Linked DNA regions of Saccharomyces cerevisiae S288C. Changing the gene in region 3 together with the main gene of any one other region gives a genetic interaction. Each region holds a gene or a part of one and is shown on either strand. Other genes may lie near its edges.

What was found.
Region 1: mutations in DUN1 (region 3) and DDC1 together harm fitness more than expected from each alone (negative genetic interaction), as found in Saccharomyces cerevisiae (5 studies listed by BioGRID, with this or other methods).
Region 2: mutations in DUN1 (region 3) and CLB5 together harm fitness more than expected from each alone (negative genetic interaction), as found in Saccharomyces cerevisiae (9 studies listed by BioGRID, with this or other methods).
Region 4: mutations in DUN1 (region 3) and BLM10 together harm fitness more than expected from each alone (negative genetic interaction), as found in Saccharomyces cerevisiae (5 studies listed by BioGRID, with this or other methods).

Annotation. Positions count from the first base shown.
Region 1 is NC_001148.4:176,349-182,955, forward strand, and holds DDC1 (Ddc1p), read left to right. Parts: upstream 1-2,928; coding exon 2,929-4,767; downstream 4,768-6,607. Other genes in the region: APL5 (Apl5p), read left to right, coding at 1-2,673; RSA1 (Rsa1p), read left to right, coding at 5,055-6,200; pheromone-regulated protein PRM3, read right to left, coding at 6,307-6,607. UniProt on the Saccharomyces cerevisiae protein: Component of the checkpoint clamp complex involved in the surveillance mechanism that allows the DNA repair pathways to act to restore the integrity of the DNA prior to DNA synthesis or separation of the replicated chromosomes.
Region 2 is NC_001148.4:770,436-777,968, forward strand, and holds CLB5 (B-type cyclin CLB5), read right to left. Parts: upstream 4,748-7,533; coding exon 3,440-4,747; downstream 1-3,439. Other genes in the region: B-type cyclin CLB2, read left to right, coding at 1,218-2,693. UniProt on the Saccharomyces cerevisiae protein: Required for efficient progression through S phase and possibly for the normal progression through meiosis. Interacts with CDC28.
Region 3 is NC_001136.10:279,807-283,692, forward strand, and holds DUN1 (serine/threonine protein kinase DUN1), read right to left. Parts: upstream 2,043-3,886; coding exon 501-2,042; downstream 1-500. Other genes in the region: DNA-directed DNA polymerase delta POL3, read left to right, coding at 1-359; guanine nucleotide exchange factor GET3, read right to left, coding at 2,306-3,370; BUG1 (Bug1p), read left to right, coding at 3,613-3,886. UniProt on the Saccharomyces cerevisiae protein: Transducer of the DNA damage signal. Phosphorylates SML1 on serine residues. Cooperates with the PAN deadenylation complex in the regulation of RAD5 mRNA levels and cell survival in response to replicational stress.
Region 4 is NC_001138.5:119,650-131,156, reverse strand, and holds BLM10 (proteasome activator BLM10), read right to left. Parts: upstream 7,679-11,507; coding exon 1,247-7,678; downstream 1-1,246. Other genes in the region: Rab family GTPase SEC4, read right to left, coding at 176-823; cohesin subunit SMC1, read right to left, coding at 8,051-11,507. UniProt on the Saccharomyces cerevisiae protein: Associated component of the proteasome that specifically recognizes acetylated histones and promotes ATP- and ubiquitin-independent degradation of core histones during DNA damage response.

The DNA.
Region 1 (6,607 bases), on a different chromosome or scaffold from region 3:
AAACTGGATCAATTCTTTAAACAAGTATTAAGTGAATGCCGGGAAGAAGTGAACTCTCCAGATCTAAATTCTAAGACCAATGCCGTTCTTAAATTGACCTATTTAGAGATGTACGGTTTTGACATGGCTTGGTGCAACTTTCATATCTTAGAGGTTATGAGCAGTAATAAACTTCAACAAAAACGTGTGGGGTATTTGGCTGCATCACAATCTTTTTACAAAGATTCTGACATTTTGATGCTTGCAACTAACTTGTTGAAAAAAGACTTAAAGTATGACGGAAACAATGATGTTGTTAAAGTTGGCATTGCTTTAAGTGGTCTTTCCACTATAATTACACCCTCATTAGCAAGAGATATAGCTGATGATTTGTTCACTATGCTAAACAGCACAAGACCGTACATAAGAAAGAAGGCCATTACCGCACTATTTAAAGTTTTTCTGCAATATCCAGAGGCTTTGAGAGATAATTTTGATAAGTTTGTTTCAAAGCTAGACGATGATGATATATCTGTGGTTTCTGCCGCTGTCAGTGTTATTTGCGAGCTATCAAAAAAAAACCCCCAACCATTCATCCAGCTTTCACCTTTATTATACGAGATATTAGTTACCATTGACAATAACTGGATAATCATTAGATTATTGAAGTTATTCACCAACTTATCACAAGTGGAACCGAAATTGAGAGCCAAGTTATTGCCGAAAATTTTAGAACTGATGGAGAGTACTGTTGCAACTTCTGTGATCTATGAATCTGTCAACTGTATTGTCAAGGGGAATATGCTAGAAGAAGATGATTTTGAAACAGCAATGGCATGCCTGGAAAGATTGCACACATTTTGTGATTCTCAGGATCCAAATTTGAGATATATTAGCTGCATATTGTTTTACAAGATCGGCAAAATCAATACTGATTTTATTTCTCGGTTCGACCAACTGATTATACGCTTACTCTCCGATGTCGACGTTTCTATAAGATCAAAAGCAATTGAATTGGTTGAAGGTATTGTTGATGAGGATAACTTAAAGGCAATTGTCCAAACATTGATGAAGCAATTTGTAGATGAAGATGTGGTTATCCTACAAACTGGAAGCATCGTATACGAAAAATCAAAGAGAATTCCCATAATAATTCCAGAAAATTACAAGATAAAAATGGTGAACGTCATTATATCGATTTGTTCAGCTGACAACTATTCCAGTGTTAACGACTTTGAATGGTACAATGCAGTAATAATGGACTTGGCGATGCTCTGTCAAGACATATCTGATAAAAGCCTTGGATCAAAAATTGGTGAACAGTTTAGGAATTTGATGATAAAAGTTCCTTCAATGAGAGAAGTAACCATTGCTAATATTATAAAGCTTATTTCAAATGACAATATTAACAAACAGTTGCCTACCGTATTGAGAGAATGCATTTGGTGTCTCGGAGAATTTTCTACCCTAGTTGAAAATGGTAACGACTTAATAAAAATCATGACTGAGAATATCAGTTATTATTCTCATAGTGTACAAGAAGTTTTAATTTTAGCACTTGTTAAAGTATTTAGTAATTGGTGTAATAACTTTCAGGAGGATAAACGCTTTGAAATTAAAATGGTGTTAAAAGAGCTAATTGAATTTTTTGAAAATTTATCTTATTCGAGTACATTCGAAGTCCAGGAAAGAAGCGTAGAAGTTTTAGAATTTTTAAGACTAAGTTTGGAGGCTTTAGAGGAGGATACGGAAGGTCTACCAATGCTACTGAGCGAAGTCCTGCCTAGTTTTTTTAACGCCTATGAACTCGCACCAATTGCGCGTGGGACTCAATTGAAGTTAGCAGTAGATGAGAATCTTGATCTAGAAACTCCATTTTTGACAAAGGAGGCAGCTGATGAACTCTTAGATGAACAAAAAAGTGACGCCATCAGTGATTTAATGTCTGATATCTCAATGGACGAGCAAGTTGAACTAAAATTCGTTGATGATTCTGATACTTCGTATGAAGAAAAGGAAAAATTGGATGATTTTGAAAATCCATTTGAGATTGAGAGAGAAAAGGAACGGATGTCAAATCCTTATTATCTAGGTGAAGAAGACGAAGAAAGAACTAAGAACTCTAAAGATTTGTTGGACTTGAATGAGGAGGAAAGTAGTGATAAAAAGCCAGAAACTATTAGATTAAATAGAACCGATAATTCGTTGAATTCTCTAAGTTTATCTACAACTGAAATCAGCAGAAAGAAGAAGAAGGGAAAGAAGAAAAATAGGGTTCAAGTCTTATCCGATGAACCTGTTATCGAAGCCGCTCCCAAAAGGAAAGATGCATTCCAGAAACCCCATGATAATCATTCAACTCAAAATCCTTTGAAAAAGGACAAGATTAATCTGAGAATGCACTCTCAACTTGAAAATTTTGATTTTTCCAATTTTGGGCAATCGAGTAACGCAGGAAGAGGATCGCAGGAAGAGGGCAACCTTAGAAAGGAAGACGAGTTAGAATTAAGTCGTTTAGAGGCCAATCTTATTGTAAAAGATGAAAAGGATAATTTAAGTGATACTGAAGAAGTTATAGTTATAAAAAAGAAGAAGAAAGGGAAAAAGTCAAAGTCAAAAAACAAACTAAAAACGAAAGCAAAAAATTCTCCAGAACCAAATGAATTTCTTCGAGACCAAAGCACTGACATTTAACGATAAAAAAATCGAAGTCGTGAATTCTCAATGACAGCGATTACGTACGTAAACTATAATTAATTTAAGTATTTTATTCTGCATAGTATATTATTGCGGTGCACTCAATTTGCCGAAAGAGACGGCATATTTAATAATGACGCGAATGAATCAAAGGCCGCCAAAGGTAATCATAGACCAGAGATGATTTGCAAAATTATTTGACATACTATTGCTAGTGTAACAATAACACAGCATAACTTTGCTTAGACATATATGTCATTTAAGGCAACTATCACCGAGTCGGGGAAGCAGAATATCTGGTTTCGTGCGATATATGTGTTATCTACAATTCAGGATGATATCAAGATTACAGTGACAACAAATGAGTTAATTGCTTGGTCAATGAACGAGACAGATACTACTCTTTGTCAGGTTAGGTTTCAGAAAAGCTTTTTTGAGGAGTATGAGTTTAAACCACATGAGATTGTATTTGGAGAAAATGGGGTTCAAGTTATAGAAGATACGTACGGCAATAGTCATAAGTTATACTCCTTCCGTGTTAATGGAAGACACCTAACAACTATATCAAGAAAGCCGGATGGTGATGGCATCAAATCATTCACAATTGCGGTAAACAACACTTCTACCTGTCCTGAATCACTTGCAAATAGATTGATTGTGGTGATTGAAATGGATTCGTTAATAGTCAAAGAATACTGTCCCCAATTCCAGCCAATAAAATACGATCCCATAATAATCAACCTTAAGTACAAAAGGAGGTTTTTGGATGTTTTTGGAACTGCTGCCTCCGATCGGAATCCACAGGAGCCCTTGGACCCTAAGCTATTGGACGTTTTTACAAATACAGAGCGTGAGCTAACATCAGCCTTATTTAACGAAGAAGTGGAATCAGACATACGTAAAAGGAATCAGTTAACGGCTGCTGATGAGATTAATTACATTTGTTGTAATTCAACTTTATTGAAGAATTTTTTAGACAACTGCAATGTTAATGTAACCGATGAAGTAAAATTGGAAATTAACGTACATAGGCTAAGCATAACTGCATTCACCAAGGCCGTCTACGGCAAAAATAACGACCTTTTAAGAAATGCGTTAAGCATGAGTAACACTATCAGTACGCTCGATCTTGAGCATTATTGCTTATTTACAACAATCGAAGATGAAAAACAAGATAAGCGATCACATAGTAAGCGTAGAGAGCATATGAAAAGTATAATATTCAAATTGAAGGACTTCAAAAACTTCATAACGATAGGTCCATCCTGGAAGACTACCCAGGACGGAAATGATAATATAAGTTTATGGTTTTGCCACCCAGGGGACCCTATTCTTATGCAAATGCAAAAACCGGGCGTAAAATTAGAATTGGTTGAAGTTACTGACAGTAACATTAACGATGATATTTTAGAAGGAAAATTCATAAAAACAGCAATCTCTGGCTCCAAAGAAGAGGCCGGACTGAAAGACAACAAAGAAAGCTGCGAAAGTCCATTAAAAAGCAAAACTGCTTTAAAGAGAGAAAACCTGCCACACTCTGTGGCTGGAACTCGAAACAGTCCTTTGAAAGTGTCGTATCTGACCCCTGATAATGGAAGCACAGTTGCTAAGACCTATAGAAATAACACGGCAAGAAAATTATTCGTGGAAGAACAAAGCCAAAGTACGAATTACGAACAAGATAAGCGGTTCCGGCAGGCTAGTTCAGTTCATATGAACATGAATCGGGAACAAAGTTTTGACATTGGTACGACTCATGAAGTGGCCTGTCCACGTAATGAGAGCAATTCTTTAAAAAGATCCATAGCAGATATTTGTAATGAAACTGAAGACCCCACCCAACAATCTACATTTGCAAAAAGGGCAGACACCACTGTGACATGGGGAAAAGCGTTACCAGCTGCAGATGATGAGGTTTCATGCAGCAATATCGATAGAAAAGGAATGCTCAAGAAAGAAAAATTGAAGCATATGCAAGGTCTGTTGAATTCCCAGAATGACACAAGTAATCACAAGAAACAGGACAATAAAGAGATGGAAGATGGGCTGGGTCTAACACAAGTAGAAAAGCCAAGGGGTATATTTGACTAAAACCATAATGCAAAATCAGTATAAAGGCGTGTAAATATTAGATGAAGTAGCAATTATCATGATAATATCGATCGCTGTTTTTTTTTTTTTTTCTGTCTCAATTTGGTGAGCGTGCGGCTGATGGTCCATCACGGTCGGGGAACAAACTAAAATTTTCAATAGCATAATATCTCTATATTGCATAGCTTTTTACTTAATAGGAACTTAAAAATTTCATTGATGCTATTATATTTAACTCATAAGTCAATCTCTTTTTCCATTTTGATTAGCTTATTGCGACATGGACTATGAATTATAATAACTTTGAAAATTCGAAGGGTGATGGACATTCTAGGCTTCCCAAACCTACATACTCCGGAACGCTATCAGATGGCTATGATGAATCGAAAATTAAAAGGCAAAAAACAGACTCTGCTTTTAATGCAGCTTACTCACCTCATATGTATCCGAACTCTCCGTATTATGAAGGTTCATGGAATACCGGTTATACTCCTCAACTTCATCATGTAGCCCCTCATAATCAATATTTCCATCCAATACAACCGTCCACTCAGTACAATTATACGAGTCCTCCCAATTATACAGAAAATTACATACCGCCAGTTCATCAGAATATATCTTATGCACCAGCGCTTAATTTACAGAAGTGGCCATCATCATATTGTGAAAACACTCAAGCCTTAAAGAATGATAAAGATTACCAAACATCAATTAGTTATGAAGATGTTGCAATACCGACCGTAAAGGAAATACAATTGATTGAGAAAAACAGAGGGAAAGATACGTTTATGAATGAAATAAGTCCAGTACCATCAAGCAAGGATCAAGCATCTGCGGAGCCTACAGAAATCCCAAGAAAGGATCCCGAGCTGGCAAATTCTAATGCCGAAGATGATCATAATAACTTAGGGCTAGAAGATGATGATCGTGATGAGCAGTTAGAATCAGAGGGGTTGGGTAAGGTGGTTTTGGTTCCTGGAACCTCCATAGCATTGATTACTGATGAAGATGTTAAAAAGTGGAGAGAAGAAAGAAAAAAAATGTGGCTACTGAAAATATCCAATAACAAACAGAAACATATGCAAGAAATGGGCATAAAGGAAGATGAACTGAAGAGCCAACCTAGCATTTTCAAAGAGTCAAGGAAAGAAAAGCAATTTATACAGAGTATTCAAAATCAAGTGCAGAGAGGAAATCCGAAGATTGACTTGAACTTGAAATTGATACAGCGAGAATTCGCAAACGAAAACTCCCAACTTTTGGACTTTATAAGAGAATTGGGAGATGTAGGATTACTTGAATATGAGCTATCTCAACAAGAAAAAGATGTACTTTTTGGGAGCTCTGAAGATAATAATAAAAATCATTACAAACCAAATTACAAAAACAGGAAACCTAATCTGAGTAGAGCCAACTTTACTAGAAATAAGTAATAGAATAGCAAATATTGATATACATGGAAGAGTACATGCAAAGGTGCGTAAAAAAAAATAAGTCAGATAAAACTAATTACTGTTTAGAAATCATGAGTATATGAAACTAATTTTGAAGAGCTTTAACTGCTAGGTTACTTAAAACAGTAGTTACAGCAGCACCAAGGAACGAACCGAAAATGGCACCTTGGTAAAATGAACCCTTATTCTCTCTCTGTACTTTACTTTCAGAAGCGTCTTTTTTCTTACTTTTCGTTCGTGATTTTGTGGAAGATGTTGTCGTTTTGTGCTTCCTGACTCTACCAGGCGACACAGCCTTCTTAATGTGTTGTTCATTATTAACTAATGACTTTTTATTAAGCGGTCCACCGTTTTTGGCTTTATTTATAACGAACCCATCAGCAGAG
Region 2 (7,533 bases), on a different chromosome or scaffold from region 3:
CCTTTTATTAGATAAGCACTTTAGTATTTTTGTTTTTCATGGCCTTATCCTACGTTATTGTCGTGAAAGAAATGGCAGAAATTTCTGTTGTACATAAATTACTAACTGCCTTACCTTGAAAACGGTTTTATTACAAAAATAGGGGTCAAGTGTTTTGTTATCCCTGTTGTTGTTGTTTTATAAGTCCTAATCTCGCTTGAATATCGCCCATATTCACACCCTGTTCTTGACCGTCTACTAAGGTGCCTTAGGGGGACTCAAACTTAAGATCGCCTTCTACGCGTTTTATGCTATGATCATTAGTGTTGATGCATCGGAAGTTTAAAAATTAAGTGCGAGTGCATTAGCACAGTGGAATTATTAGAATGACCACTACTCCTTCTAATCAAACACGCGGAAATAGCCGCCAAAAGACAGATTTTATTCCAAATGCGGGTAACTATTTGTATAATATGTTTACATATTGAGCCCGTTTAGGAAAGTGCAAGTTCAAGGCACTAATCAAAAAAGGAGATTTGTAAATATAGCGACCGAATCAGGAAAAGGTCAACAACGAAGTTCGCGATATGGATGAACTTCGGTGCCTGTCCCTCGAGGAAATAGCAAACTCGTTACAGCTAGCATCTCATAGCATGGGCATAGAGTTTCAGAAATTTTGCTCTTAATGGAAAATATAACCTCTTTGGGGAAAAGAGAAATAGATCCTTTCTCAAAAATTTAGAAAGGAAAAAAAATCAAAATATAATAAAATAGATTTTTTTTAGGTTAATTTTTTGCCAATTTAGCTAGACTTTTGAAAAGATCCAAAAATTTACTAAAATTGAATCTTTCTGGTATTAATTTTGTCCTATACCTCAAGAAGTAAAGTATTCTCGAATTGATACTTCTGAAAAGCGAAAGAAATATAGCTAAAGGATACTGGTTATTTATTCTTTCTTTTTTTCTTTCTTTTTGATTGAGCCAGTGTATAATAAAAACCTACTGCGAGCTATTCAATAAATTGACATAGAATATCTGTTGAAGCGGTTCTTTGATTGAGCATCTGTTTTCCTTTTGTATTTTTGTCCTTTTAGATTCTTTTAACGACATTGGAGAAATTTTAATCATTGTATAAAAACTTCATTCGCTCGTTTGTCAGAAGTTTTTTTATAACTTGCTATTTCCTTCCAAGAAGCCTTTTATTGATTACCCCCTCTCTCTCTTCATTGATCTTATAGATGTCCAACCCAATAGAAAACACAGAAAACTCACAGAATACTAGTTCATCAAGGTTTTTGAGGAATGTACAAAGGTTGGCCTTAAACAATGTAACAAATACGACATTTCAAAAGAGTAATGCGAATAATCCAGCCCTAACAAATTTCAAATCTACACTAAACTCAGTAAAGAAGGAGGGAAGTCGGATTCCTCAATTTACTAGAGAAAGCGTATCAAGATCAACAGCCGCACAAGAGGAGAAAAGAACCCTGAAAGAAAATGGTATCCAACTCCCCAAAAACAATCTTTTAGATGATAAAGAAAACCAAGACCCAAGTAGTCAGCAATTTGGTGCGCTAACTTCTATAAAGGAGGGGAGAGCTGAGCTGCCTGCAAATATAAGTTTACAAGAATCCTCCTCAGCGAAGGAGATAATCCAGCATGATCCCCTAAAAGGCGTTGGATCAAGCACTGAGGTAGTCCATAACTCGGTAGAAAACGAAAAACTTCATCCAGCTAGAAGTCAACTTCAAGTTAGAAATACCGAAAGTGAAACTGATAGTGGAAAAAAAAGACCAATTTCTACAATTGTTGAACAAGAACTGCCCAAAAAGTTTAAAGTGTGCGATGAAAATGGCAAAGAAGAATATGAATGGGAAGACCTAGATGCAGAAGATGTAAATGATCCATTCATGGTCAGCGAGTACGTCAATGATATATTCGAATATCTCCACCAACTAGAGGTCATTACTCTTCCAAAGAAGGAAGATCTCTATCAGCATAGAAATATTCATCAAAATCGAGATATCCTAGTTAATTGGTTGGTTAAAATCCATAATAAATTCGGCTTATTACCGGAGACTTTGTATCTTGCCATTAACATAATGGACAGGTTTTTAGGTAAAGAGCTAGTTCAACTGGATAAGTTACAATTGGTTGGCACATCATGCCTTTTCATTGCCTCTAAATATGAAGAGGTCTATTCTCCTAGTATAAAACATTTCGCATCAGAGACAGACGGTGCATGTACGGAAGATGAAATCAAAGAAGGGGAGAAATTCATTTTAAAGACATTGAAATTTAACCTAAATTATCCCAATCCGATGAATTTTCTGAGAAGAATTTCGAAAGCAGATGACTACGATATACAGTCTCGAACTCTTGCCAAATTCTTATTAGAGATATCATTGGTAGATTTCAGATTTATTGGGATACTACCCTCATTGTGTGCAGCAGCTGCGATGTTTATGTCGAGAAAAATGTTAGGTAAAGGTAAATGGGATGGAAATCTAATACACTATAGCGGCGGGTATACTAAAGAAGAACTTGCGCCCGTGTGTCACATGATAATGGATTATCTAGTGAGTCCAATTGTTCATGATGAATTTCATAGAAAATATCAATCTAGAAGATTTATGAAAGCTTCTATAATTTCCGTCCAATGGGCTTTAAAGGTTAGAAAAAACGGCTATGATATAATGACCTTGCATGAATGAGAAGAGGGGCAGATGCTTAAAATATCTAAAACGATAATCGATAAATGTCCATATAAAATGTATGGCTGCTTTTTAATCATTTCTTTTCACATTTCCATTTATTCTTACAAATTTCACACCCAATTTTAGCGCCTTTCATTCTGTTATTTTTAAACTGACGATAAAAAATCATTCGAAGCCTAAGATTTCCAAAATAAAACTCCATTTTTATTCTCACTAATAACACCACACCATTAATTTTAATTTTTTAATTTTAATTTCAGATTTGTACCATAAGTTTTATTCTATTTCAGTTCAACCGTTTCCGGATGCATGTAGCGAGGGTAGACAAAGAAAAGCATCAGTATCGGATGTTGATATTATGGGAAATATCATAACCTTAGTCTCTTAAAAAATGCTGCTTTCTTCTCATTTTTCATTTCTTTTAAAATTATTTCAGTATAGTTATTATAATTAACATTGGAATAACATTAATAATAATAATTTTTTAATAGTAATAATGATAATAATAATAATAAAAATAAAAGAATAAATTTAAAAACAAAAAAAATTCTAATATTAATGATGATAATAGTAGTAATACTGGTGGTATTATATATGTTGAAGTGAACACGCATATCACTATAAACTATATATACATATATATAGATAGATAGATAGATGCAAAAAATTTTTTCCTTTTAGTTCAGCAAAAAGAAAAGAAAATGTAAAGAGTATGCGAATTCATGAGCATTACTAGTACTAATCTACTTAAGATTAAATAGATTTTGAAAGTTGCTATGCATTTCGGATGTACACCACTTGAAAGTTTGGAAATAAACAGAGCCATACCTTGGTTTCTTGTACTTCAAAATCAATGAATCTAAATGAGTTTTGGAACTAGCGATGTCTTTGACTAGATCAATGCAGAGAGACTGAAACGCTTCATCGTGTATTGGATCGATACCACCACTGTAATGCTGTAGTGTTCCATTCCATAGCTCGTTCTTGTTTCTGTTGGTCATTCTTCTCGCTATATACATTGCCATTGCGCTTACGGTAGATGGAGGTAAATGAATGAATTGGTGGCAGCAGTAGGCATACTCTAAAATAAACTTACCAATATTTCTATTAACCGGATCGTAATCATCTGCCTTGGAGATCCTCCTTAGGAAATTGAGTGGGTTGGGCCAACCAATGTTGAATTCTAAGGAAGTGAGCATGAACATTTCCGCATTTTTTATGTCGTTTTTAGAAGCCGCGCCGTCAGTGATATAAGCGTATTCAGCTAGTTTGGGCAAATTTACCTCTTCAAATTTTGCCGCGATGAAAAGTGAGGTAACTGCCAATAATTGTAACTTGTTCATCGTAACTTTATTTTTAGCTAAAAATCTATCCATTAAGTTTATGGATAGGAATAACGTTTCCGGATAGCATTGAAATTTTTCGTGCACCTCTACCAGCCAATCCACTAATATTGTTCTCATGGAAGGCCTCAAATAATACTTGGACGTTTTGTCGAGTAAATAGTTGTGCGATGGTAACGTTTCTAATTCTCTTCTATATAAAAATGCAAAAATTTCAGCAGAATATTCTGCTACCATTGCAGTATCATCTTTTTCAACATAATCTAGGTCCTGCCAGCCTACTATTTCACTCACTCCTTCAGCGTCTATTCTGCGTTTTTTGTTCACTATCGAAGCAGCATCATCATCTTCTCCTTCTTCTTCTTCTTCTTCTTCTTGCTCTGCTGCCGTTCGATCGTTATATATCTGTCTTTTTTGAACGGCGCTAACAATAGGTCTAATGTTTTCTTCTCTTCGTACTTTGGCCGCCTTGCTCCCTGCTACTATTCTCTTGTTCTGGCTTAAAGGATTATTGTTCACTGGTACATCTGTTAAAGCCCTTCTTGGTTTAGAATCCTGAACCTGCTGCTTACTAGAGCTGTCATTTTTTGAAAGGGCCCTTTTATTTTGAAGAATCTTTAGGTTTGAATTGCACAACTGCCTCTCATTTTCATTATAAATCATAGAATTTCTTTTAATACTCTGCTCATGGTCGTGGTTCTCTCCCATTGTTCAGTAAAGGTGTTCAGCGGCTTTAAATACAGGGAAAAGCGCGTTACTGCTAATTATTAAGCTTATTTTGCTTTGTGTGAGACAACTAATTGGCCGTGAAAAGCTTTAGGTGATTGAGTCTCTTGAAGTACAAAGACAAAAAGACTTCAATAGATAGACAGAAAAAAAACTTTTCTTGAGAAGCTTAAGAATTAGTTCCAAGTAGCTTCTAATAAACCGATGAACGCAAATGAAGTTCCCTTCGCGGTAGATGGCAGTAGCTATCGGCAGTCACTAGGAAAAGTGAGTTTAGCACAGATATGCTGTGGGCGCTATCCCAATGTGGGCAAAGCGCGTGAACATCACGACGCGCCTTCCCGTTAAATTTTGTACCATCAAGGGCGCGTCTTCACTCGAGATGCGCGTTCTTTTGCTGGTTCTTTTCACTGAGGGCACAGAATATGATACCCACAGTATGACAAGTTTTAATCGAGATAGTTTGACGTTCGTTTTTTACTTTGAATATACTCGTAGTCTTTTTACTTTTTGAGTATAAAAAAAAAATGACTAGCAAAATAAAATTAGTAGTCTAAAAAAGAAAGCTCGCACTCAGGATCGAACTAAGGACCAACAGATTTGCAATCTGCTGCGCTACCACTGCGCCATACGAGCTTTTGAATTATGGTAATTTTGATTATCCTAGAATGTTATATCTCAATATCTCAATATATTTTGGACATCTATGAAACACCCATAAAGCAGCCGCTACCAAACAGACAAGATTCAGTATGTAAGGTAAATACCTTTTTGCACAGTTAAACTACCCAAACTTATTAAAGCTTGATAAATTACTGAAATTCCACCTTTCAGTTAGATTCAGGCCTCATATAGATTAGATATAGGGTACGTAACATTCTGTCAACCAAGTTGTTGGAATGAAAGTCTAAAATGTCATCTATTCGGTAGCACTCATGTTACTAGTATACTGTCACATGCGGTGTAACGTGGGGACATAAAACAGACATCAAATATAATGGAAGCTGAAATGCAAAGATCGATAATGTAATAGGAATGAAACATATAAAACGAAAGGAGAAGTAATGGTAATATTAGTATGTAGAAATACCGATTCAATTTTGGGGATTCTTATATTCTCGAGAGAATTTCTAGTATAATCTGTATACATAATATTATAGGCTTTACCAACAATGGAATTTCGACAATTATCATATTATTCACCAATTAATCACAAGTTGGTAATGAGTTTGATAACAAGTTACTTTCTTAACAACGTTAGTATCGTCAAAACACTCGGTTTTACTCGAGCTTGTAGCACAATAATACCGTGTAGAGTTCTGTATTGTTCTTCTTAGTGCTTGTATATGCTCATCCCGACCTTCCATTTTTTTTTTCTTGGAATCAGTACATAGCAGGTATGAGTTGTTAGAGCTGTTACAAGTTACGGTAAACATTTCAACACACCGTTATTTAACGAATTTATTTGAGAAAGTGGTGTATTTTAAGATATATGTTTGGTTTCGATTGTTGGCAAAGACTATAATATTATGCATATAGGATATACCAAAAATTCTCTCTGAGGATATAGGAATCTACAAAATGAATCTACATTTCATTTTATTACGTCATATATGAATACTAGTCAATAGATGATAGTTAATTTTTATTCTAGCATATATTTAAGTTTGTTTGCGAAACCCTATGCTCTGTTGTTCGGATTTGAAATTTTAAAACTACATTAATGTGTTAGTTTTTCTTTCTTTCTTTCTTTGTCTTGACGTGATTTGGACTTCTGTCTTGCATTCGCGTCCATTCATCTGACCCAATATTCCTTTTGGTTTTGTTATCCTTATAAAAAGAAAGGAAGCTTCTTAGAGGGAAAAAAATGATGAAGAGTAATGCCAAAATATAAATAAATAAATAAATATGAAAATCATTTTCTATTTTTAATAGAATAAGAAGAGCATCTTAAGATTACAATTTCAAGAAATAGTTTACACAGTATATCCAATAACTCCAATAAACTACTTTCCTATACAAATTTCTATGGTGGGATTAATAGTAAAACTTCTGTACTTCTCTAATTCACCAAGAAATTAAGGTAAACATCTGGTAAGCACTATCCAGCTTTTTGCTATTACACATATGGCTTTTCTGCAATCATTTCTTCCCATTTTGTCTCAAGCCGTTAGTCTTGAAACCACAGGCGGAGTAGAGTTACTTGATGCGGTATTTTACATGCCTTTTTTCACTGCAAAAAAAATGAAATACATATTTACACGATTTGCAGGACAGTTTACGATAGTGAGTATGCAGAATAGTTAACACCTTTGTTTTATCCTTTTGTGTCTTAATTATATGATATAAAGGCGCCTGGCGTTATCGGATAGTAATAGATGCTAGTTATCAACATTTCACAATTGAAGGAAATAAAGTTGAAGTACTCAACAAAAACTTACTTCAGAATTAAATTTTTGGGGGGAACATAGGCATCCTATGACAGGTGACCACAAGCCCCTCAACGCAATCTAATATTTTACAAAGTGGTAAAATTCTTTCGTTCTTCGTTTTAATATACAGTCATTTATTGATTCTATTACATTAATATTCCTACGCTTCGGCTCACATAATTAACAGGACTTCGAGTCCGTTAAACTTGGGATCAACTAATTTCTACGGATTAGTGCTTATGCCTGATGTACTGCCATATATGGTGTTATGATATCACATAAATGACGAGAAACGGCCATCGAATTTAGTGGAAGCTGAAATGTAAGGATTAATAA
Region 3 (3,886 bases):
CGAACGGTATGTTCGTTGTGAAATCCATTAAAATTAACACAGGCTCTCAAAAAGGAGGCTTGATGAGCTTTATTAAAAAAGTTGAGGCTTGTAAAAGTTGTAAAGGTCCGTTGAGGAAAGGTGAAGGCCCTCTTTGTTCAAACTGTCTAGCAAGGTCTGGAGAATTATACATAAAGGCATTATACGATGTCAGAGATTTAGAGGAAAAATACTCAAGATTATGGACACAATGCCAAAGGTGCGCTGGTAACTTACATAGTGAAGTTTTGTGTTCAAATAAGAACTGTGACATTTTTTATATGCGGGTTAAGGTTAAAAAAGAGCTGCAGGAGAAAGTAGAACAATTAAGCAAATGGTAAAAAACGATAGGGTGGCACATCATATTAGGATTAAGAAAGGCTAACAACTTTTTGCATGTTGGTGGATATATATGTATATATAAATAGATACTTGGAAAAATCCAGATTCAAACAATGTTTTTGAAATAATGCTTCTCATGTTTAGAGGCAAGATAATTCTGAGTATGTTTTGGGTATTTTATTGTCAGTAATTTGTAAACGCTGCAATTCTAATGAGACCGAGCTTTGTTGCTGTATGTCATTGAACCAAGGGTGGTTCAAAGCTTCATCTATATTGTACCTTTCATCAGGATTTAGGACCAAAAGATTGGATATTAAATGTAGTACTGAGTCATCGATTTTATCCCAGTACGGAGAGTAAAACGCATACTTAGCTTGTAAGATCTGTTCCTTCAATGAAGGTGGCCCCAATTGATCACTGAATGGAGGAAAACCACATAAACAGACATATAATATGACACCAGCACTCCAAAGATCTACTTTTGATGTGTATCCTTTCTTTGTGAGGACTTCGGGCGCTACATAAGAAGGCGTACCACAAAGTGTGTTTGTGAATTGCATTTCTCCTGTAAATTTTGCTAGGCCAAAATCCGCTATTTTAACTTGAATATCAATTTCATCTTCATCCCATGGGCCAAGTTGGACTTGACTTGGATTTTCGCGCCTTGTTATATTTAATAAGATATTTTCTGGCTTGATGTCTCTGTGAATGATGTTTTGCTCATGCAGATACTTCAATCCGGTAAGTAACTGTTTGAATAGAGCTTTGGATTCATCCTGTCTCAAACATGTTTTTCTGACGATTCTTTCAAATAGTTCGCCATCGTCGATCTTTTCCAGTACCAAATATTTTTGAATCTGAGATTTGCTGATTGGCTCTACAAAACTATCTAGTAAGTTGACAATGTTTGGATGTTGCACTCTCATTAGGATGTTAGTTTCCTCCCTAAATTGTTTATTCTTTTTTTGGTCGTCATTTTGCTGAGCGTGGAATATTTTCACAGCTACTTGCTGACCAGTTTTTTTGTTTTTGGCTTCTTTCACCAGGGCGTAGTGCCCTGCACCTAATTCTTTACCTAATAAATATTTATCAAAGAACGACACAGGCCTTGTCTTATTCAGTTTTCTAATTGCGGCACTCGTTGTAGCATTTTGGCTACTTGTAGCACTTATTTGCGGTTTCTTGAAAACTTCGTCGTCGTTCTTATATGAACGACTTTCTGAACTTACCTTTTCATCGTCATTTTCGATGTCAGTAGAAGATGAAGATGCGTACTTGAACAAAAAGGAGCAACTTTTGCCAAAGACAATTCTGTCACCATTCTTAAGGATGTAGTCTTTCTTCACCAAACGATTACCATTAATAAAAGTTCCGTTTCTGCTCTTATCGATAACATTAATCAAATTTCTTTGGAAATTATCCACATCCATTTGCAGTAGATGAAACTCAGCATGGAAAGTCGAGATGTCAGGCTCACTCAATATAACGTCGCACGACCTACTTCTACCGATTGTAGTAACGTTTCTATTTGTTATTTCCACTTTTTGCTCCTTTCCGGGTATTAAGTTCACCAGATGGCCCAGACAAGTGTATTCTGAGCTGGGCTTATTACTTCGTTGCTGTCTTTTGAATGAAGAGTCAGTTACATCACCAGAGTGCTCTCTTTTCGTGGACAAACTCATCTTCACTATAATTGCCTTTTTTACTGTATGTTAAGCCCCTTTACTTGTTACTCTCGACTATAAAGGGTTCTCATTTCCTCCTTTTTCAACAATATCTAATAATTTTCCAAAATCATTTGAAAAATACCATGGAAATAAAATGGAAAAAAGTAAACAAACGCGTCGCGTCACGTAATTTTTTTCTTTTCACACACATACCATCGTATTACTATTTTTTCTATGGTTATATGTCGTATGTATCTATTTATGGTATTCAGGGGCTTCTATTCCTTATCTTCTAACTCATAAATGACTTTGCCATCAGTAATAGGGTTATATTCTTTGTTTAGGAACTGTGAGAACTTTGTTAAGTTATTTAAGCCTCTGATTTCTCCAGCACATAATGGCATTTTAACGACATGGAAATCTTCGTACAATTCGTCGATTTGGTCCAAGTACTTCTTTTGCATCTTCCATCTTGCCTGACATCTCTTACAGTTGTGCTCTTGATCGTTTTCAGCAAATAATAATTGGTTGACAATGATGGAATTAACGTCCATATCGTAGGAAATCAATTCCTGAATTAGTCTTTCAGTTTCATATAAGGATAAGAATTCACTGATACAAACGCAAACAAAAGTCGTTAGGTCAGGATCCGTGAATTGTTGTCTGATGGTCTCGACATTAGCCTTTAACTCGTTCAATTTTCCAGAGATATCGACATTACCTGCGCCCATAAAAGAGTTTAGCATTGGGCCCAATTTGTTGGTAATTTCACCGAACTTTTCCAAAAGCTTGGATAAAGTATTTGGTAGTTGTAGAAATCTTAATGTGTGGCCAGTTGGAGCAGTGTCAAAAATAACAGTATCGAAGGTTTCACCTTCGCCCTGTTCTTGCCTTTTAATGTGCTTCATGACTTCCATGAAGGATAAAGCTTCGTCGATACCAGGGATGGAACCGGTCAAATCAGCAAGAGCACCACCTTGAAGCAAGCTTCCTAGATCGTCACCTTGACCGTCACTTCCGTTATTGTTAGCGCGTGAAACTGCCATGTCGTTCATATCCTTCAAAGCAGCGGATGGATCGATTTCCATACATGATAGATTATTCATGCCTGTCACCTTTCTGGCGTCTTTACCAAATTTCTCACCGAATGCATCACTTAAGTTATGGGCAGGATCAGTAGAGATCAGTAGGAACTGTTTGTTTGGTTGACTCAAAGCCATTTGGATAGCAATGGAACATGATGAAGTAGTCTTACCAACACCACCTTTACCACCAACGAAAATCCACTTATGAGTGGTAGAGGTAATTAAAGAGTGCAAATTAGGTTCCACGGTTAAATCCATAATTACAATGTGATGATCTTCTTGTTCTTGTCGTACGTTTTCCTAAACGCTGCGTTGGCTTCCCTCAACTTGTTTGAAGTTGCCACCGTTTTATCCATTTTCGCTTTTGAAAAAAAAAAAATGGTTGAGAATCCCCAGCACTATTAATTAGTACTATTGTTACGAAGATCTTGTGATAAAAAAGGGATGTAATAATTTGCATTGAACCAACCTGAATTGAGCAAGTTTATCATATAGTTACAATGTCTGAACAGGAGTCTGATGAAGTTAAGCGTATGAAACAATTGGAAGAGGCTAGAAAGAGAGTAGAAGAATTGAAGAAAAAGAAAAATAAAAAGAATAAAGGTAAGAAGAATAAAAATAGCAGTGCCACAGGCTCTATAGGATCTGAAACTCCTGATTTAGAGGGCACACCAGGCGAAGAGTCCACACAGGAGGAGACTGTGAAAGCAAATTCCACCAAAAGTGAAAACAACGATCAAAATGACGTGGATGAGGAGAGTGAAGAAAAAGAAA
Region 4 (11,507 bases), on a different chromosome or scaffold from region 3:
TATGACTAATATAAAAATAGTAAGTATGGTAATCAAAAAAAGATACAAACAATGTATATATATAAAGGAAAAATAACCTGCGAATATTGAGAAAAAGGGAAAAAAGAATCAAGCGATTTATAGCTCTAATTCCAGTTCACGATTAATTCTCAAAGAAGCAAAAATCTTCTTTTCTTCAACAGCAATTTGATTTAGAACTGTTTCCGCTCCCACTATTGATGCTAATATTGCCCTCTTTACCGTTACCGACGCCAACAAGCTTGTTACTGTCGATTTTTTCTTGGATTAACTTCGCCAAGGTGAAAAAAATCTCGTTGACATTGTCATCGTTCTTAGCACTGGACTCGATGAATGGTATACCCAGCTCCTTAGCCAAGGCTTCACCTTGATCAGCTGTTACCACTCTCGTCTCCATATCGCTCTTGTTACCAACCAACAGTAGCTGTGCTTCATCGTTCGCATGCTCATTAACGGTTTTAAACCATTGCTTGATATTAGTAAATGTTCTCTCGTCTGTCACATCATATACAAGAATGATACCCATAGCACCACGATAATACGCTGTGGTGATTGTCCGGAAACGTTCTTGACCAGCGGTATCCCAAAGTTGCAGCTTTACCTTCTTACCGTTGATATCGACAGTCTTTATTTTGAAATCAATACCAATGGTGGTGATAAATGACGGGTTAAATTTGTCTTCAACAAAACGAACCAATAAACATGATTTCCCAACACCAGAATCACCAATCAATAAAATTTTCATAATAGAGTCATAGCTCTTTCCATTACCGGATGAAGCAGAAACAGTTCTCAAGCCTGACATGTTTATCTTGTTATGTTTATATTCTTTCTGGTGAACGATACGCCCTCGTGTATATACAGTATGTCTACTTTTTCTCCTTTTCTTATTCTTCCAAAAAAAAAAGTTCCTAGTTTATTTTCTTGGAATTGCAATAGGTTGGAATAATGGATCACTAAAAGACAAGCTATAGTGGGTAATTCAAGTTTCCAGCTTCCCTAGAGGTAGAATGCTTTGTTTGGTATAACGTTTCCCTGCCGTTGATCATTCTCAGTGGTGAACTTCCAGTTTTCCTCAAAATTGATTTATTACCCGGCACGCAGCCGTGATCATAGTTACACTAACAACTTACTTTTAGAGTAAAACTAATCAGCAGATAGCTCCAGCTATTTGTTTAGATGTACATATATGTCTAGATATGTGCTTAATATCCTATACTAATATGAATCAGGCATAGTAACTTCTCCATAGGACACCCTCCAGGTCTTCCAGTTCCTCCGTATTGAAAGATGCTCTATCGAACTTCCAAGTGTCGGCCCTCACCTTCTTGAACTCACTAATAGTATTTTTGGCAGCTTGTCCAGTCATACCACTAGTCCTGGCCCACGAGGATAAGTTGCTTAGTTGCTTGGGTATCCATGGCGGTAGGGGAAAAACATAGGGGAACGCTGATATAATAGCTCCCAAACCCAAAACGTTACCATGAATCTTGATATCCGTTTTGGATAACTTTTGTCTTTCTTTCGACGTGTATTTGTTGACGTCGAGACCCTTTGCAAATCTCTCGATTAAACTCAACAACGGCTGTTCCTCTTTCCAGTTATGGACGATATCAGACAAAATGGATGCCGCACGAACTCTCACCTCTACAAACTGTTCGTTATACAAATTGCTGACAACAAATTCCAAAATTTTGTTCTTTTCTTCCTCAGTAAGTTGAAGCAGTTCCGCTGATAAAAAGTGTTGGATGAAAGCTAGCTGTAGTTTCGTTTGGTTTGAAGATAGTGCTACATTTGACGAACAAACATAGTCAACAATGGCGGCAACATGGTTCTTTCTGATCGGCATATAGCCCAAGCCGGCATACAATCGAACAGGATCTAAACTGGCAAGAGCACAAACATCTTTATGTTTCACTAATCCGATCAGAAATGGTAAAACATAATCGACTAAATATGGAACTAACAAAACTTTATTAGGCCCTCTCGCCATTTCTTTGATCCAATAAAATATTGTGGATGTCCTGTAAAAATAGTCTGTCTTAATAAATTGTTGAGGATTCAGGCCGACAACGGAATCTTCCAGATTTTTAATGATCTCAAACTGCTTCTTAATATAGGCATCCACCTTTTCTGGGACGCTTTTTAATGGTAACCCTAATCCATCTGGATCATTCCGTTCTGCTTCTAATAATGTGGTTGGATCTGAAATTGACGGATTACTTTGATTTTGAACTAAGGTCGTCAATAGTTTAGCGACAGCCTGGCGAACCTGATCGTATGGGTGATCAAATACCAACTCATCAAATAGCTTACCAACATCTGGGGCTCTAAATTCCATGCTCATCAAGATACTTCTTAGCATGTAAATTTTGGAGGTTTGATGTGTGGCTGCATCAGATTCACGGTCAAACATGCCATCGGCGTTGATAAAATGGCAAAAAAAAGTTTTAGACCTTCTTAAATCAACGACTGCAGGCAACCACCATGCCAAGGTGCTCCAAATTTCAAATGCGTCATGGTTCAACTCATAATCTAAACATTTGGCTAGGAAGTTTTCGATAAAAGTGTCACGTTTGTCCAAGTCAGAGACTGACATAAACTTACTCCCGCAAACTAAGCCAGCCACTATCTCGACAGACATGATCATCGAAGCCTTATCGTCTTTGTTATAGTAGGATTCACATAGCTCAAAGAGATCCGACATATTCAGTTCGCAGAAACCAGATGATATCAAAAGGATTACTAAAGAGAAAAATGACACGTTACCACTACTAAAAACACCCCTAGTTTCATTATCTTGGACTAAATTCATTGTAACATCTCTCAGGAATTCTCTTGTCAATAGATGACCAGCTGTCTTGAGGACTTCCAGTTCATTCTCACGTAAATTGAGCTTTAAAGCTTTCGGCGACATGACGTACATAAGCCTTCCCCAACATAGCCACCCTACATACGCCCTCAAATCGATAAAATACTTGGGGTTATCAAAGTTATTCATTTCTTCAGTAAACGTTTTAGGGAAGCTTGTGGTCGAAGTGTCCAGTATTTCCACAAATGATGGATTGAATTCATTCTTATAGGCCCTGGTGATGTCATATTCATAGTCAGAGAGAGATATTATCTTGTTGCACGTCGACAACAATGACTTTACAACCAAATGTATGATTTCGGGATGTTTTGTGGAGATTTGGGAGATTATTGAAAATACTGCTCTTTTATCGGGTTTGCTTTCGAGGTTCGATTGGATTTGTGTAACAAAACGTAAAATGAACATTCTTATCTTCCACCCCATATCTTTTTCATTATCTAATTTGTCTAAAAGTTTGTCCTGCAAATCCACTAACAGAGAGAGGTAGTACTCACGCTTTTTCTTTTTGGCAAGCTTTACCGCTTCAACTTGCAAATTAATAGTACCATCAGGAGGTGCTAAAGGTAAGAAAGCTTGATCGGAAATGACACATACACTAGAAGGAATCTTGATCCCAATCACTATGTCAGTTAAGATTTTATCTGCATACATACCAATCTCTAATTCATTCACACGACAACATTCAATAAGCAGAAATATCAATCTGCCGATGTCTTTATAATCCGTCATAAGCTTCCTATGGATTTTCTTAATTAACAAAACATTTAAAATAACTTGGATTTTCATATAATCATGATCCTTAATCGCTTTCTCTAATGATGGAATAATTTTATTGATGACTACGCCATATGACCCAACTAATTGTTTCATACAGTGTACCAAAGTTCCCTGTGCTGGTTTATAAATATCAGGATAAAGGGATGTCGCTAACTGTATGATGTCAACTAACAATAGGTTTTCCAGCTTGGAAGCTTTTCTATTTGTTGAATGTAATAGAACTCTACTCTGGTGCAAACTGTTTGCTCTGATTGCAAAATTGGTTCTCGTGAAGGGCTCATTTACGTGTGAGAGAGATTGAACGTTTTCTAGGAAATCAACGTCAATGAAGGCATTTGGGTCTTCATTGAAGACCGTTTCTTGTCCCAGATCTGTGAACCAAACTTTCAATCCGTGCAATAGAATTTGGAACATGTTGGTGTTGTTTTCGAAGTTTGTAGATAAAAAAACATAGAGTTTGTGAAAGAAATGTCCAATGCGCGCTCTAACTCTGTGGACTTGTAAATATTGTGGGTTTTGTAACTTCTCCTCAGTGGTATTTCCGAAGTAATAATTACAGGTGTAAATATCTAAATCCCTGAAAGCTAGATCCGAACTCATAGCTGAATTGTCCGTGCCATGCGTCCCCGCGATAGGGGTATTTACACCAGATGGCATCTCAGACACTACTTCTTCATCAACAATTAATTCATCCGGAAACTCATCTCTTAACTGCACAACATCGGAAACTCCTGCATTCAGCCCTGCTTCAATGTCCTTACTCTCAATATAGTCTTCATCATCCTTGCCAGAACGAATTTGTTCAATATCAATATCCAGTTCTTGAGGGTCACAATTATTTTCGCGTATATTCTTTAATAAAATCAGTTTCTCTCTGTATGATAAGTTTGATTGCGTCCTATATTTGTTAAAATCTGGATCAAAAAGTAAACTTGACCCGGAAAGCGTATGTGTCATAACTAAAACATATTTTTGTATCATATCGCCATATTCGGAATCATGTCTTGGAGCTTTCATCAGTTCTTCTACGTTGTTAATACAGTATTCGGAAAGGCTTTCTAGAATGCTTATGGATAAAGTTATCTCGTCACTAGAAGGTACGTGCCACTGAAAACTCAAATGCTGTTTATCAAATCTTCGAGGATCGAACTGTAGTCCTCCCCATCTGTCTTTTTCCGGAATCTTAGAGTCCTCTGGGAATAGACGACAATCAGTTATTTCGGTTGTACATAGAGTTGCTAAAGCACTGTGAATAACAATAGATGTGATAACATCCAATGGCGGGTTAGTGACGTTGTCGTATAAATATTTCATGAATGTTATCAACTCATCGCTATACTCCAATAGAGATTCATGACATTGCCTTAAGACATCATTTAGTGCAGTTAAGTATAAAACTAACTTAACATCCCTCTGTTGAATCTCTGAAGTACTTCTTACAGACCCGGCGCCTCTTTTGATTTGTTCTTTGATATGGAATAAAAGAGTTCTGACCAACTCTTTACTCAAACCATTATTCCTTCTTACTAAAGCCGCTAGTGGGATAGTAACTAATTCATAGTTTGGATCCTTTTCCTTGAAGGAGTCATTACTCCAGAAGTTTCTCTGTAATAAAGAAGCAAAATAATTAAATATTTTATCGTCCATAGACTCTTGTAAAATCATAGTTGTTTGGTTTATTTTAGTAACCAAAGAGTCCTCTAAGTCTACATCAACCAATTGGAAAATTTTTTCTACGTATACTTTTAGCATACTTTGAAAAACTGTAGTGGAAGCTTTGAAAGCGTTATTTAACAGTTCATCATCAACTCGGAAGGTCTTTGAACTTTCGCCACACTTAATATGATAAAAATGTTGTTGAACTAAAGGAAGAGTATCCGATTCAAACGATATATAATCGTCCTCCCCAGTGAGGTCTTGGATAGGAATGAAAGCGGCTATAGATACAATACCGTTGATGAGGTTGCTTGTCAAATTAGTATCGTTCATATCAAGTTTGGAGACCAGCATCGAAAGGACGTTTGTTATGTGCACGCGATATAGCTTATCCATCACAATAAACCGAATTACTCTTGTAAATTGTTTCAAAGAGGAAATGATTCTGTGTCTCGAATTGATAAATTGGTCAGCCAGCGTATCGTACAAATCTATCAGTATTTTGTCATAAATTAAATATGCATTTGAAGGATCCAGCTCTAACAGATATGCGAAACAAGAGATGTAATAGTTCGCAATATCAGGATTTTTATTCTGTGAACCCAGACTGATAATATTTAAGAATATTTCAACTATCTCTTCGTGACAAAAAGAAGTTAAACATATCCCATTTGTGACGCCCCTAGCACAAATATCTTCTTCATATTTGACCCTTCCGTGGTAAGACTTTATAAATGCATGAACGAATTTAGCATTTGGCTTGGTCCAAAACCCATTATTAGAGGGATGGATAAATGTTTCGATTGCTTTGGCTAAACTTACAAGTTTTTCAAAAAACCTATCTTTTTTTGATCCGTTTATAGCATAAACAAAAGGCTTCACTGTGCGGGAATACGAATGTATTTGACCGTCTGTTCTAAGATGGCCTTGTAACCTATTGAACATAAAAGTCATTTGATCATCAGTAAAAATCCCGAATTCTCCAAACTCCACTCCAACTACATCCTTTTCATGCTCGCTACTCAAAATCTTATTATGAACGTCTTTGGAAATTGACCCAACAAAATCATACATGTGAGTGTCGATGGCCACGTTTGCGCTGACTGAGCTCCAGATGCTATAGCAAAACGGGAAATAATCGATGATCTTAGAATGGATATGATAATGATAGGGCACAACGGATGTAACGATAGGCATGACAGCCATCATAGTAGATGGTGCAAGACTAGACAACAGAAAATTCATCGTATCAACTAACAAACTTTCCTTTGACTTATCGAAAAATGGTTTTGCATTATGTGCATGCTTCAAAAGTAATCTAAATAACTGTAAATCTTCCTTTGATGATAATTCATAACGAGCATAGTCGGGATCTGGATAAGGTAGAAATTCGCACAGGAAATTGAGCATGATTTGATGATCTAGCAAAAGACCTTGTTTTTGCAACAGTTCAGTGAAATTTGTCCTATCATCGTCAAGGCTTACTAATCTTTCGAACATATCGACATGCATTTGTCTATACACCTTTTGGCCCTGAACAAGAGACAAATAATAATAAACTGTCGCTAGCGACTTTCTTAAAGCTACTGGAAAATCAAAATGTAGACAATTTTTGAGCTCATTAGTCCAATGGTTTACATTCACAATAGTAGCTGATTTAGCTGTGATTTTTCCGGTAGCATTAAAGTCGGGGCCTGCTAAGTCGAAGTATTCATCCAATTCGTCCTCCAGGCCTTCCGCATCGTCATAATCAGCAATATCGTTACCAAGTAAGTCATTCTCCGCTGTGTTGTTAGATAACCTGAAAAGATCGGTTTTAAGAGCTAAATCATCCACTTCTTTCTTTAAATCAGCCAGATCTTTACTGGAAATAGAAATCAAACCTTGTATATCTAATGAGCTGATCGCAATATAAAGATTAACTAAGACATGGCACAAGTATTTCGCTTGATCTTCATGACTTTCAGTCTTATATGGTAAGAACTCTTCAATAGGAAATTCAGGCCTCACGGATCTGCTGAACCAGCGAGATGATGGGTCATATATATTCTTCATATGCTGGGCCCTGTCACTAACATAATCCAGCGTATAATGCTGTAGCCTTTCATTCAAAAGGGAAGTGGAATCCATGCCATTGAACAGTTTTTGGTCCTGTAGCGTTGGGGTAGCAGACCTTGCTCTTAGCGGAGAATGTGGTCTTCCGTCTGCGGCATATAGCCTAGACTTTTTACGTTTTATCTCGCCCTGAGAAGAACTGGGCCTTCCTGGACTTCTCTCAAAGCGCTTCAATTGGGATAAGGTCTTGTTAGTAATGGGAATGGGTGATTTGATATCATCGTCATTGTTAGCGGTCATTGGCGGTAACAAATCGAAAAATTAATGTGCAAAGCTAGCTAACGAACAATGATAAAGTTTATGTATGCAAATACAGCTACAATATTCAATGTTCTTCTCGTAGTTTTTGCTAAGATCTAATGCAGCTTTATTATCAAGCCCTGATGACAGACTTTGCAAATATCGTGTACTTCTCCACTGGTAAGAGATGAGAAAGAACTTAAAAAATTCTTTTCTAAGGGATACCTCGGCCGCCACCCACCACAATTGGGTTACCCTGGAAAAAAAGTGACGTTATTAATATTATTGTTACTATGATATTGCACTAGCTAGTTGACCTATATAGATATTATTAGTTATTTGACGGGTTATAGCAGAGGTTGGTTTCATAGATTATTCTGCGTAATTGCTCAAGTCCAAAGTTATGATCTTCGACGAGTTTTCTTGTTGCTGTCTGTAAACCCCAACGAGAGCGTCAGATTTTTCAAACATGGTGTTCTTCAATGAAATGACAATGAATTGGAGATCTGGATTACGGTGCCTTCTTATATAGGCAGCAATTCTCTGGACGTTAGTAATGTCTAGGGCTGCGTCCACTTCGTCCAGCACGAAGAAGGGACTAGGCTGGTAGGAATTAATAGCAAATAATAGAGCTAATGCAGCTACGGTTTTTTCACCACCAGAAAGATATTCCATGTCTTTGAATCTTTTAAGAGGCGGAGTGGCATGATATTTGATTCCCGCATTGAACGGTTCATCTTCGTCTTCTATGGTTAAAGAAGCGTTACCACCGGCCAATTCCACATTGGAGTTGGGATTTTTAGTAAGTTCCCTGTAGATTGCGTCTAAATGGTCGCTCACATAATCAAATGTCTTTTCGAACAGTTCCTTTCTTTTTTTCTTAATTTTTAGGAACTGGTTTAATATTTTCTTTTCTTCGGCCTTTAGTTGTTCTGTTTCGTTATTAATCACTTCAAACCTTCCTTCCGCCTCGTCGTATCTCTCCAAAGCTCTTGCATTGGGCTGCAACTCGTTCAATATTTCCTCCACTTCATGAATCTTCTGCTCCAGCTCCTTCCTTGCCGAATCGGTATTGTTTTCTTTGTATTTTTTAGGTAGTCCTTTATAGTTTATATCGATACTGTTGGAAATTGTAATTGCTTCATTATCAGTGGAAGATATTGGTAAATCATCTATCGTTGTTTCAGATGATATAGGTATATTTATATTAGAAATTTTACAATTCTTTAACGCTGTTACTCTCTCTAAATCAAACTTTTCAATATCTTCCTTTATACCGTCTCTTTCCCTTTTTAAGACTTGTAAGTTGCTGTTCATGTCCTCTAGAATATCTTCGCTGGAATTTAATTCACTTTGCTTCGTTACAAATTTCTTCTGTAACTCATCTAAGTGATTTTTGTGTTCTTCCAATTTAGACTCTATTGATCCGATTTTCATTTCTATTGCATATTCCTGTTCTTCCAAAGACTTCATTTCAACTTGAGCATTCTCTAAATCCTTTTGCGCCTTTTCATATCTTCTTTGAGTAGTACTTAGTCTGTCTGTCTCAAACTGCAACTTATTTTCAACGGTCAAAATTTGTTTTTGTAACTGCTGTAATTCTTTAGATTGTTGTCTCATCAATTCACCGGAATGATTTTCATATTCTTTGATTGTAAAGCCAATTTTACTAGTGAATTCTTTGAAAATATTATTTTGTAAAGCCTCCTTCTCTTTCACTAAATTATCTTTAGTATTTTCTAAATCATCTAGCTTCTTCTTTAGTTCAGTTATCTTCGGTTGAATTTCTTTCTCTATCAAGTCATTATGGTACTTAATCTCTAAACGATTTTCATCCAAGGAGCGTTTTTGTTGTGTTACTTGAGTTCTCAAATTTGCTATGTCCGAGTTCAATAGTGAAACACTATTTTCAACTTCTCTTGCTCTGATTGAATTAGAGCGTTGACCGTTGGAAAGTTCATCGATTTGGATTAGTAATTTGTCTTTTAAAGACATTAAGCTTTGATATTCTTCTTTATCCCACCTATTATTGGCATCTCCTGATATACCACCTGTCATCAAACCGGCCTTGTGGATCAAAGCACCTTCAATTGTAACCAATTTGCCTCTTATGCCCTTTTTCCATTTCAGATCTTTAGCAATATTCAACGTATTACATATGATGGAATCGCCACACACATATTGCATCGCTTTTTCATATTCCGGCTCGTAGTCAATAGCATTAATTGATAAAATATAGTCTTGTGAGTCAGGCAATGATAATGTAGGTAACTCTGTCTCAATTGTGTCTAGTGGTATGAAAGATGCAGTGCCCGCACGTTGCTTCTTCAAAAATGCAATGCATTCTTGAGCTACGGTTAAATTTTCTACAATGACGGAATCAAAGTTCTTACCTAAGATGGTAGACACTGCCAAGCCATATTTCTCCTTTTTTGGGTGACAAAGATCATGAACAAGACCTTTTACTCCGGGGAAGAATCTTTTCAACATTGCTATATTTTCTCTTAGTTTTCTTTCTTTCATTGTTTCTCTTTGATTAGCACTCAAGTCATCGATCTTAACCAACGTTTCCCTCAACTTGAAATTTAAGTCGTATTCTTGATTATTAGCAGATTCAATATCAGATTGTAATTTTTTCAGCTCGTGCAAACGTTCAGTATGAAGGGCGTTTTTCTCATTCAAAGAAACTCTTAAATCGTTTAATTGCGTGTCCAATTTTTCTCCTGTTATAGAAAGCTCCTCCGTTATCCTTCTTTTAGAAATATCTGCCCTTTTGTTGAATCTCTCCAATTCCTCTTGGATTTCTCGCTTATCGTTGTTCAAAACGGCAATTTTTTCTTCTAGGATTGACCCACCTTCAGTCAGATATTTTTCATGTAAGCAATTATATGTCTTTAAATCATTTTCATTTAGCTTGAATTTGTCATAGTTTCTAGCAGATTGTTTGATTTCCTCTTCAAAAGCTTCCTTTGATCTGGTCACCACTTTTAGTTGTGTTTCAAATCTCTCCACATAAGTCTTCTGTCTTTGAAGATCTTTCTGTAAACTTTCGATTCTTTTTTCTATATGGGAAATTCGCTTCCCTGCTGCCTGTTGAGGAACCTTTATGAGCCGTAAATCCGAGACTAATTTTTCCTTATCCTTGAAGATATAATCTAATTTACTTTTTTGCTTAGAAATTACTGCGCTTTCTTTAACAAAGGAAGATTTTGAGCGTTGTAATGATTTCATCTCGTTATTTATTTTTCCCTTTAAAGACGATATTTCAGAGTTTAATGCGGACAGCTTGTCCGTTAGCTCCTCTTTTTGTTGCTCTAAATGATATAACTGCCATAGAGCCTGGAACTTCTGTAATTCATTTTTTTTGTCCAATTGTTTCCTATACTCCTCGTTCTTATTGATACCTTCTTTATATGTCTTCAATTCTCCATGGATCCTTCTCCTATTTTTTATAGATTCGGTTGCAGATTTGCTTAATTTCTCAATCTTTTCCTTCAACTCTTCATACTCCTTTTTGTATTGGATAGAACCTGATACTTCTTCAAACATTCTTGATAATTCTACGGGAGATTGTGCTGCAATTTGCTCAACATCACCCTGGAACACTAGAAAATTTTTGGCTTTGATAAGAATATTTTCGTTCTCAAGAAATATAGAATAGTCCTTATAGGAGACAGTTTTTCCATCAATTTTATAACTAGTGTCACCGTTTCTGGAAATTATCCTCATCAGCTCCACCAGTTTGTTACCTTTTTGATAAAATGCCTTCACGTATGCGGATTGTGGGTTCGAAGAGGCAGCGCCCTCGTTATCATAATCGTCACTATTC